Linked DNA regions of Drosophila melanogaster. The protein of the gene in region 2 interacts with the protein of the main gene of each other region in a pairwise test. Each region holds a gene or a part of one and is shown on either strand. Other genes may lie near its edges. The genes, in order: Su(var)3-7 and HP1c.

Region 1 (8,257 bases), 9.5 Mb from region 2:
TCTGGTGCTGAGACATGCCCTATTCATGCTCAATCCCAAGCAGTTTGAGTATCCGCCAAACGCCTTCACGTGTGTGTCCTTTGCCAACAGTTCCGCGGACAAGGATGTGCCCCCTCCTGCGGGACAACGCCCGCGCACCAATTCAGAAAACTCTTCGATGGCCACTAGTGGTAGCCAGATCGATCGGCAGATCACCTTCATGCAGGAGCGCAATGCGGCGGATTCTTCTGCTCTGGCCAAATTGCAAGATACCCATCGAGTTGCAATGGATGGATACTTGGAGAATGTGAGTGTGCTTTAATATATGAATGTCGTATACGTGTTTCTGTTACCATATTTAACCGTTTATTAAATTATATTTAATTATAACAAAACAAAACTACTTAAATCTAAGCCAATCTTTTGTACATATTTTCTAAGTAGGGTTTTAGTGAGTCAATTCTTAAATACTTTAAAATTTATAACGTAACATTTACTTTCATGATTTTATTACAAAGACCTGTTCCTAAGAAATATTTGTATTGGCCCTTGCAGAGTCCAGAGCTACTCCGATTGGAGCTGAAGAATGCCCAAACTGTAATCAAGATAGCGCGAAGCAAGTTGCAGAGCTACCTGAGCACTGTGCGCCATCATGTGGGAAAGCAGGCGAATGGTAGCGAAGAACTCGGTCGGACACTGGACGGGATTGAAGAGCTATGCAGCTTTCTGGACGTTAAATTCATGTTCCCGCTGCACCAGCGATCGGCGCCCATCGACCAGGCTCTGGAGGCCAACGAGCAGAAGCAGCTAAACACTGTCAGCAAACCGCCAAAGCCAACGGCTTCCTCCACTCCCGCTAACGCACCGGCTGCTCTCTCTGCGACTGGTGGCTATCAGATGCCTGAGAACGCCTTTATGCACAGCTCGATGCGACGGCTCCTCGGGGAACTGCGTGAAATCGAGCTGTCCACGATAACGAGCGATGAGAAACCTGGAAACGCGGTGGTGCAAAACGGATTGCCAGCTGCGGAGCCTCAGCAACGGCATCGAAACGAATCGAGTTGATCGTAAGGTCCACTCCTAACGACTGAAACTGAATTTAGACTTAAACAGAGCAGCCACAAAGTGGATAAACCGGAATTAGTAAGGATTATAATTAAAAGACATAAAGTTTACTATATTTTGGACTTGAATAAGTCCATAGTTTGTAATTTTCTCCATGAAAAATAAAAATTTTTCGGGTATTGGAATGGTTTCGAAACAAATCGTCTTCAAAACATGCAAGTTTCGGAAGCAACAGGTTCGTAGTTCGTTGAAGGAGTAGTGTTCTATGTGATATCTTGGAAGAAGCTCCATCGTTTGTGTATTCTAAATTTTGAACAATTGCTTGCAAGTATTCATCATTAACGTAAAGTATATCTGATTGAGTCGAATTTAAATAATGACAGTGATAAAGTCTTAAGTTACGTTTGATTCATATTTCCTAGGAGCTCTATGGCCTGCGGTTATGGTTCACCATTGTCCGAAATGTTGTGATTTGACAACCGTTGCTGCTGGGACCACCACGCATTATTGGAGTCGAGGACGTTATGCTTGCCTGTGCCTGCTGCGGCTGTTGCATCTGAGGCGTATTAGTAACGGTGATCTTGGAACTGTTGTTATTGTTAACCCGTATCTGCCTGATCATGGCCAACGTGTTACCATTGCTAAGGTCCGCCTGTGGGGTGGATGGTGCTTCCGAAGTGCCACCTTGACTGAGTCGTCCGTTCACGTTGGTCCGACTCTGTGTTGTTAGTTTGTCAAGAGGTACACAACGCACGGAATCCGTCTCGAGGCGGTTGGTCACTTGCGTTTGGTTGGAAGTTAAGATACGGCGTATATTCTCTGGCAGGTCTTTGGCGCTCCCATTGATGGTCACTTGGGCAGAGGAAGCCCCGGTAACTGGCTCTTTCGGTACGGTTTCCTTGTCGTTATTATTGTTCTGCCCATTATTGTATTCATGCGGTGTTGTGACAACCGAGGAATGCAAATCTGCATCGACAGAAGCAAGGGGAGCTGAAATAGGAGCAGGAGGAGTTTTAACTGGGGTCACCGTAGTTGAAGAAGGCCATTTCGAGGAAGCAGAAACTGTAGCTGGGGTTGGAGTTGTCGCATTTCTCTGCATGGCTCGAAGCTCCAAGCTACAAACGAGCTGCATGATTTTCGACTTGCCCTCTGCGGCTAAATCCGGCGGCAGGGACTTCATGGTCGGCGAAATGCTGTCAAAGAAGAGATCCATTACATGTCGTGGCTCCGGTGGCTTAATCGGTGACACTGTCACCGATGGCGGCGCCTGGGCCATAGACTCGTTATGTGCGACCGACTCCCGTTCCAAAGTTCGCAAGCGTGTAACAATATCAAACGACGAGCATATCATGTCCCTGGCCATGTCCATTTGGGAGCGTTCTTCCTGTCGCTTGCCCATTGAGTCGCGAAGGGCGCGTATTATGCGACGAACCTCCATTGAGCGTCGGGACCGCTTCGCCAGCGGTTCCGCTGTGCTGCCATCGGATCTAAGTAGCCATAATGAGTGTGGTTATTAGAAACGCTTAATGAAGGGATTTCGAATTCTAAACTCACCGAACGCTCATATCGTTTTCGCTCTCCTTGTCCATTCCAGACTCCTGCCTTTCCGCATCAACGGTGGAAGTGGGACTAACTGATGGTGCATTGGCGGCAGCGGCGGCATTGGCCCTTTGCCGCTCCTTATTTTCGACGTGCTTACGCGAAGCGTCGTGTTGCCGCAGGTAAAATACCTTGATCGGCAGCCGGCTATCACAAACACGGCAGTGACAGTGATTCTCGTCATTGGCATCAGGATCCAGCCAGTCGTACTTCGCTTGCAGCTCTGCCATAGCCGCTTTCTGTCTAGCCTCGGCGCTGGCCAAAGCCGAAGCTGTGGCCACAACAGTGGATATTTCACCTGAGTTTTTGTTCGATGTTTTCAAAGGGTTGCCACCATTGCGCTTTCGATCAATGCGGAGGCGTATGTGTCGGGAAGTCCTCTGGTGCTTGGAGGCCCACTTGGATGAGGGCAGGTAGAGAGACACTTCGCACAGCTTGCACCAAGCATAGTTTCCACGCTGCTCGTTCTTTTTGTAGGAGAGCCACGGGAAGCGGCCCTTCCACACCATAACCTTGCCCTTCATGGTTGCCGGAATGGGCTTGACAAAAAGCTTATTGTCCGCTCGAGCAGTCTTTCTTGCCTGCACGGTGCCCAAGTCGAAGTTGCTTTGGGAATCTTCTTCTGCGTCCTCCTCTTCTTCTCCATATTCCTCGTCCTGTTCCTGTGATTCTTCATCATCCTGCGCATTATGTTTAGTTTGCGTGTTTGTGCCCTGGTGCAGTTTCGCTTGCCGCATTTTGAACTGCTTTACCAGCTTTACATGCCGGGCACTCAACTCATGCCGCGCCTTTGCCGCTTCGTTGTGAAAGCGCACGCGGCAGAATTTGCAAATCTGAGTCTTTCGGTCCTTGGAGTAGCAAAGCCACGGGTAAAAACGTACCCCAGCGCGAACCGTGGCCTTTCTTGGCTCGCTAGAGGACTTATGAGCAAAACTATACGAAATTATTATTATTAAAGTAAAAATTAAAAATATTTTAAGCAACATACCCTTTTCCGAGTTTTTGGATCTCGGACCAATTGTCATCGTCATTATCTTCGCTGTCATCGGTCTGCGATGACTGGGCTTGATCACTTGCCGCCGCTTCCTCTTCATCCATGTTATCGCCGCCTCTGCCGTCAGCCGAACCAACTTCGATGCCTGCCTTGGCGCTGGCCAAAGCCAAGGTATGCTTCTCGGATTTTTCGTGATTCTTGCGCTTGATCTCTGAGTTTCCATACATGAATCGCTTGCGACAGACGCTGCAGTACCCAATGCTGGGGTCTTCGGGATCAGCAATCAACCAAGGATGCATGTCGGCGAACACGGCCCAAATGCCGCGAATATCTGAAGAGCTGAGGTAAAAAAGTGAAAGCAGTTAAAGAACAGGTGCTATTTACGTTCTGTAGGAGTGTCAACTCACCCCTTTTCAGCGGGTGTCGATAGCATGTGACAATGAGCTCTGGTTTTACAGTGCCGTAGGAAGCTGGTAATCGCCATTGTGCAGTTGCAGAGCGTACATCGGCATTGCTGTGGATTGGTGTCCGGAATCAGTGCACACCACTTGCCAGGGTCGTCGCCTGAGTCCACATCGCCGTTCATCATAACCACAGGGGTGTCCTGAGCATCCTCCGGCCCAACTTCTGGTTCAGATTCCTTCTCTCGCTCGGCCTCATCCCCGCCGCTATTGGTCACGCTGTTGCTCTTGCTCCTCTTTCGCTTCCGACTCCGCTTATCGGAATCTAGGTTGCGCAGTGCCTCCATGTGACCTTTGGTGGTTTCGTGGCGCTTGCGCAAATAGACAAACTCCACGTTCATTCGCACGCTGCAGATGCGACATGTCCCGATGGTCCCTGTGGGCATGGAACGTTCAAGCCAAGGATGCCAACGGAGCCAACGCAGCCAGTTGAAGTTGTTAAATGCCTCGGTCTCGGAGATTCGTTTTTGCTTCATGGCGGCCACATAGCTCTTGGTGCCGAATTCGTGCTTGATTTCGTTGTCGCTGATTCTACGGATAATTGGGAGTTAATAAGTGTTCGCAAACTTTCGGTGATCTCAATATGATTTCGGTATTTCGTTTTTTAAAGGTGCAAATCTTACTAACATTACGAGTAGAGCTACCCTCATTGAAAGCAGGGAGTGTAATATATGTAAAATCTATTCTGAACCGCGACCAAGCCTATCATACACCAGTTTCTTTGTGTCAAACAATTGCTACACGTTGGAAAATTAATGCGGACTCGGAGCAGTGCTCCCTTCATTAAGTTGGCAGTTTTTTTCACACTACAGTGGGCTTTCTGGATTTCGGTACAAACCCTTTACAAAGTGAAAGGCATTTGAAGAGTTGAGCTTTTACTTTATACGGCGGATTAATTAACTTGATTTCTCCGAATTTTAGATTTCTGTACTCTTTTTTGTAATCTTTAAAACTGTGACACTTACGCTCCTCGAGTTTCCTCCTCACTTTTCTTGAATGCCAGATAGTTGCACTCGCGTTCCTGGTGGGAGAGCGACACGTTGTGCTGTTGGATGTGTCTAGAGCGGTTGTTCACGTTAATGGATATGTTGCAGTAAAGGCAGAACGCTAAGGTGCCATCGGAGTCCTCGTGTAGGATCCAGGGCCAACGCTTCATCCAGAGGAGCCAGCGCTGTGCGCGGGGCATCTTGCGGCGCATGCCTCCGTCAACGCCACCGCCATTGCTGCTTTCGTCATCCTCGTCGTCGTCATCCTGGCTGTCTCCCGGATCATGGATTTCAATCCTCTCCAGCAGGCCCATGGGATCGTGGTACGAATGGGAGCTCTCCGCATCGCTGGAGGGTTCAGTTTTAGTGGACATGGCATCGGGTTCACGTTCCTGGTCTTCCAGGAGGGGATCCTCGCTGGCCTGTTTGTCGTCTGGGTTATTTAGAGCGGACTGTAGCTCGGCCACCAATGGAGCATGTTCGTCATCCATGATGTCCTCAATACACGGGTCATCCCGCATCGGGTGCTTGTCCTCCTCCACCACCATGGCCACATCCCCATCGTCATCATCCACCACGATGACCATGGAGGTCTCCACTTCCTCGATGTGATCCGGATCCACCAGAGCACCACCCTCTACGTCCATAATTTTCAGCTCGTGCGTTGCCGACGCTAAAGTTTCTGAATTTGCAGACGCCATTTTGAGGTCTGGGTTGCATTGAGCATCTAGGTTTTTCGCCTGCATGCTCGAATCCCGATCCATCACGAGATACTGGTTATCCAGGCACTTTGCTCTAATATTTGTTAGCTTTTGGGAGATCACAGTATACGGTTATAAACTAAAAAAATAAAAATAATCGCAAGCGAAAACTCAGAATCGCTGTCAAGGCGATGGCCAATGTGACCGTACTGTTGCATTAAACCGGCGGGCTAAGGACCATATACTAAGGAAGTTCAAAAAATACATAAAATGCAACTGAGGGACTGGACTGGTCACTTTATTGAGAACGGTCTTAAAACGTACTGTTCATAGTATAACTGCAATTATTTATTTAATAACTACATGAACATTATGCTTAGAAAGCATATAAAGAAATTACATGCATTAGCATATGATTCATATATCGTTGAATATTTAAAATAAAGTGTGTAGAAACAAACAACCGGTGTGGGTGACAACTCTTACAGCATGTGCAAAACGGGTTATGCGGTATTTCTATGCATGTGCGCACGGTCATACCTCACTGGATTTTGTTTATATTTTGGAAAAGACTACCCAAATGTCAAACCTCCAGTTAACTCAGGAAAAACTGTGAGTATACCAAAGTAAGAGACCAGGGTCTTATGTTCACTGACTATATTCGCCGCCCAGAGATGCCCTACGCTCCGAATACAGGCCACGCCGGCCGTGCGCCCTGCTGAAATATCCTCGACCCAAGACAAAGCCGGAGTACCAGGCGATATATCCGTGGTTGCTCCCGGATGAGACGGATCCGCACTTCGTGTTCTGCGCGGTGTGCGAGTGCAGGCTCAGCTGCAAGAGATCTGATCTGGGAAAGCACGAGGGTAGCATTAAGCACTCGGAAAATGCACAAAGAAAATCATTGCCAGCCAAGGCAAACAATTCGAGCTTCAATGGATCCAGCTCCGGTGCGATGAAGTGGGAGGATACCGAGGACGAGGAGGGTCTACTACAATACGGAACAGATCCCCAAGACGACGAGACAGAAGATGAGGAGGAGGGAGAACTTGACGAAACAGAGGGCGACTGCGAGGACGATGAGAAGCGGACTCAAGAACTGGAAGCACAAAATGATCTCGAAACGGAGCCCGTCATTAAGCAGCAGCGCCGCACTTCGGAGACCGACTCACAGAATTCTGGCATGCTGGATTATCTGCCACTACACGTGACCATCAACGAGGGGCCTCAAAGTCTTCCGACCACTGTCTCCGCCTATCCCACATCCTCAGCAACAGCAACAGTAGCTCCGCCATGCAGGATCACCATTAAAAAAGTTCCAGTGCACAGTACTCCACTCAGTGGGATGTGCCAAGCTCAGGAGATCAATTCCAAGGCCACCATAACGCCTATACACACGACGCCCTCCTATGCTGCCCGCCCGCTGCAATCTTATCAACTGCAACCATTGTCACCTATAACGCCACCGCGCGACTCATTGGAGCTGTTCTTCGACAGCATATGTGCCACCGTCAAGAACTTGCCGCCCAAACTGGCCACCGAGGGTAAGATCCGGGTAATGCAGCTCATTGGGGAGCTCGAGTTGCGTGCTCTTTGCGAACAGGAGGCGCTCTCTGAGGTCGCCGGACTTCCGGATCTCGCGGGAAACTCCAGGTCTGGAGCAGCTGAAGCCTCAGGCAGTGGTCAGCAGAATGCGACAGTGGCTTCTACCACCAAATAAATTCACCTGGACTTTGGAATCGGTTCCAAACCGTGCTCAATACGGCAATTAGAATATATGCTAGTGCTTTCATTTTTTAATTTTGTTAACTGATTTTCATTAATAAAGTTATTTATTAGTTGTTGTAGTGTGGCGTGCATTTATTCTTTAAATCTATCTGATGGTGTTTTTGTTCTATGAAATGGCTTCATTACATTTCATCCGTTTAGAAATTTAAGTGCCCAATAAATGGGCTCATTAAGGTATTAGGTTCGCTTTAATATTTCACTAACTGCATTTCAAAAAGTGTTTTCCTGACCTTGGTTTGCCAGCAAAGTATAAATTGTGAATTTTCTCAGAGAATGATATCACGGAAGAGCTGTAATCAATGGAAACCACTTCTTGTGTGTGGGTAACAATTGTGATTTACTTATTGTGAATGATACAAAGCGAATTCTCTGAAGGGTAAATATTACGCATGTACAATACCATGTGATAAAAAGTTTATCGCATGATAGTTTAATGTATGTTCTGTAGGTAAAGATAGTAAAAATCACTCCATCAGGCGAATTTATCAACTGTAACGAACAAACAACATGTAATATCAGATTGAATCAATCAGAATCAATCAATTGAAAAAATGCCAGTAATTATAAATATAAGTTAATAAATCTTTATTTGTAAAATTGTAAAAAATGATTGAAAACAAGAGTTATCAGTAAGGCACTTAGTTAATTGATATTGGGGAAATATCCCCCTTAAAAAGCTTGCTT
Region 2 (3,557 bases):
AGAAACTCCCAGTTCTTTGACACAATCACCGGTGAGTACGTTTACAACCATAAGCTGCCACTTAATACGGGACTCATATTCCCCAGGAAGTGGTGTTAAACCGCATATTCTGGTGCTGAACAAAGTCGATCTGCTGGGCGCCAAACAGCAGAAGAGCGTGCTCCAGCAGCTGAGGAGACAGCAGCCCGAACTGCAGCACATCCTGTTCACCAACTGCAAGGATCAGCGCAACAACGGCGTGCTGGACATCCTGCCCCTGGCAACGCGCCTCGTGAGCGAGAGCAGTCGCTTCAATCGCACCCAAGCTGCCGAGCACAATCTGATGATCATCGGCGTGCCCAATGTGGGCAAGAGTTCCGTGATCAATGTGCTGCGAAATGTGCATCTCAAGAAGAAGAGCGCCGCACGCGTGGGTGCCGAGGCGGGTATAACTCGATCCGTCGGCGAACGCATCAAAATCCAAGAGAATCCGCCTGTTTACATGATCGACACACCCGGCATCCTCCAGCCCTCCATTAAGGATGATGAAATGGGCATGAAACTGGCCCTGGTGGGCTGCCTTCCCGATCATATTGTGGGCGAGGATCTGATAGCCGACTATCTGCTGTACTGGCTGAATAGCCACCGCAAATACGACTACGTGGAGATGCTAAAGCTCAGCTCCGGACCCAGTGACGACATCAGCGCCGTGCTGGCGGAGTACGCTCATCGGGAGGAGCTATTCCACAAGGTCAAGCAGTACGACGGACGCGTGGAGGTGATGACAAATTTATTGGCGGCCGCGCGAAAGTTCATTCACTTCTTTCGCTCCGGCCAGTTGGGTCACATGAATCTGGACGAACCCAGTGGTTTCAGATAGCTATACATATGTATGAATTAAACTTAGGGGCTTAGATTAAAGACTGAACAGTCGATTCTGCTCGCGTCCTTATTGATTTTCCGCCATGGGCACATCGATGGCAATGTCGCCAACGCCGGGCACGGGAATCGAGTACGAAACACTAGCCAAATCGTCGGTATCATTGGCTAGATCCATGGGTGCATGGTGCTGCGGCGCCTGGTCCACCTGTGGCGCGATTCCACCAAGATGTCCAGCCAACTCAGCGGACTGATCCACCTCCGGCGGCACTTCGACGGGCGCACTGCTAATGTGCGGATAACTGGTGCGCGAGGCCGCCAAACGCAGCTCCTCCGGCACGCCCTTCATTCGCATCGCAATGTGACGGGAGTAAGGTGCCATCTTCTGGAAATAGTCAATCAGCATTTGCGGATCCTTCTCCACGATCTGTGCCGATGGCACCAAGTCGAACTCGTCGCAGAACTGCCAGCGCACCAGATACTTGATGTCGCCCGTCACATCCGTTGCGCCCACGATCTCGGCCAGCTCCAAGCCGCGCTCGTAGCCGCGCAGCTTCTGGATCTCTTCGCACTTGGGTTTCTTCTCGCCGCGCTTCTTGGACTTGGCGCGCGACTCCTCGAATTTCTGGATGAGATTCGGGCAATCGCAGTTCTCCTCGGGCTCCCAGGTGTTGTCCGCCGACGTGTAGCCACGCCACTTGATGTAGTACTCAACCTTGCCTTCGCTGGTAATGCGCTTGTCCATGATGCGCTCCACCACGAAGTTGGGCTCGTTTTTAACCATTTTTTATTGTGTTTTTACAAGATTGTTTACAATATTTAAAATCGGCTTGGTTTTTTTCACTAGTGCCAGTGTGACCGTTTGCTGACTTCAACAACAGTTACAATAGCAACATACTTCTGACAGCATAGAAAACGGTCACACTCGCACGCGCTTGCAATTCGAATTCAGGTGAAATTTTAAAGCTCAGGTGCAATGGAATCCGAATCCTCGCAGGATGATTGGTCCGCATTCGATCCAATGTCCAGGGAATACTATGACCAAGTGGGCAACCGTTACACTAACGAGTCTGGCCAGAAACTAATCATGGAAGCCCCGCTGCCGCCAAAGGACGAAAAGGAGCAACGTGCCACCAGGCAGGCGAAGTATCCATACTTGGTGGTTCCAAAAAGCAGTCCCTATGTGACCGAAAAGATGCTAATCAACTTCTTCGGTCGGGCGCTCATCAAGGAGATGGAGTTCCGCCGCTTGTCACGCGTATACTTTGTCTACTTTGAAAATATCGCGTGAGTTTCTTCAAGCACTTTCGCAGGTCATTCAATATTTCGAGCGTATAATCCTTTTTCCAGATCCCTGGAGACAGCGCAACAGCGGGTGCAGCGTTACCCGAACCTGATCAAGTGCATCACTGGTCGCCCGCAAAAGGAGCGGGAAATCACCAGCGATCCGGTGACTTCCACTGAGCCAATGCCAACACCAGGCCCAGCAATTTCGGCCACTGAACGTACGCCAGTGAATCACAACAGAGAGGTTCCGATCTCGACCGGAGGACAAAATCATCCGGAGTTCTTCCGGCCACCGCTGGTCACCAAAGATGATTACAAAAGAGGTTCATTGTTGGCCACCAACGACCCCATTCAACGCTATCTCAATGTAAAGTACGAATTCGCACTGGAGCGCCATGATATCTACAAGCTTAAGGATGAGACCAGAATCCCGCAGGTCGTTCTGCACTTTCGTTCGGGCAGAACGATTCCTTTGTTAGTATAGCCACCTGGTCACGTGCCCTTGATTAGCTAACGAGTATAGTTTCTGCATCACTCAGGTCAACGGTTGCTGTCACCGAAGAGGATAAAACTAAAAGCCTGCTGGAAGACGGCGTCAGCAAGTGCGTGGTTTGTCAAAACTGGACAGACACTTTCTGCAAGCTGTGCAAAATGCCCTTCTGCAATGCCTCCTGTTTCGCCGATGTGGCAGAGCAGCATAAGCAAGCTTGCGGCAAGGGTGAGATACTTAACCTTGACGAAAAGGTGGGCCGGAAGTACCCCAAACCCGGCTTGCCGCCGTCTGGATCTAAAGTGAGAATTACTGCATTCGAGCAGACTAACGTGGTCTATGTGCGCTCGGCGGACATTCAGATTGACATCGCCTATTATACAGTTCTCACGGAGGTAATGATGCTGGGCAAAGATGCCTCCAAACTGCAGAGTACGCCAGTCTGCGGACAAATTGTGCTCTACAAGTTCGAGGGACATATGTCGCGCGCCATGGTGCTAAACGTGGATAATATCAAGGAAATCTATGTAGTGTTCATTGATTTCGGAAGTGTTGAAGTCACGCAGCTGGAAAGACTGTATGAATGCAGTTCGTATTTAGCTGGTTTGACCTGCTATCCCGTAGCCGTTAAATTACGCGGAGTTCCCAGGCGCTTTGTGGGTCCCAACATAAGGGAAGTCATGTACGAACTCGACCAGTCCCTAGTTTTTAATATCAAGTACTCGTCACGTGAGTACGATACCAGCAAGGGCATGCAGGTCGTGGTGATGACCGAGATCGATATTAATAGGAGCCTCAACCGCCTTTTCAAGACCATCCTAACTCCTGTTGAGCCGTCTGTCTCGGACTTGGGATACAAAGAGGACGTAAGCCAGAACTTAAAAAAACATCAAGTACACAGTTGTCATTTGCATTTATTCGG

What was found.
Region 1: the proteins of HP1c (region 2) and Su(var)3-7 interact in a two-hybrid assay, tested with the Drosophila melanogaster proteins (one study listed by BioGRID).

Annotation. Positions count from the first base shown.
Region 1 is NT_033777.3:13,262,107-13,270,363, reverse strand, and holds Su(var)3-7 (suppressor of variegation 3-7), read right to left. Parts: upstream 6,001-8,257; 5' UTR 5,849-6,000; coding exon 5,064-5,848; intron 4,630-5,063; coding exon 4,045-4,629; intron 3,977-4,044; coding exon 3,632-3,976; intron 3,577-3,631; coding exon 2,599-3,576; intron 2,532-2,598; coding exon 1,472-2,531; 3' UTR 1,045-1,471; coding exon of another isoform or gene 535-1,044; 3' UTR 326-534; downstream 1-325. Other genes in the region: TBC1D5 (TBC1 domain family member 5), read left to right, coding at 1-286, 535-1,044; ravus, read left to right, coding at 6,366-6,397, 6,458-7,505; CG11686 (uncharacterized protein), read right to left, coding at 8,243-8,257. UniProt on the Drosophila melanogaster protein: Dose-limiting factor in position-effect variegation, the inactivation in some cells of a gene translocated next to heterochromatin. It could play a role in chromosome condensation.
Region 2 is NT_033777.3:22,743,802-22,747,358, reverse strand, and holds HP1c (heterochromatin protein 1c), read right to left. Parts: upstream 1,740-3,557; 5' UTR 1,643-1,739; coding exon 929-1,642; 3' UTR 860-928; downstream 1-859. Other genes in the region: CG17141 (uncharacterized protein), read left to right, coding at 1-31, 87-859; vret (vreteno), read left to right, coding at 1,835-2,145, 2,209-2,619, 2,685-3,501.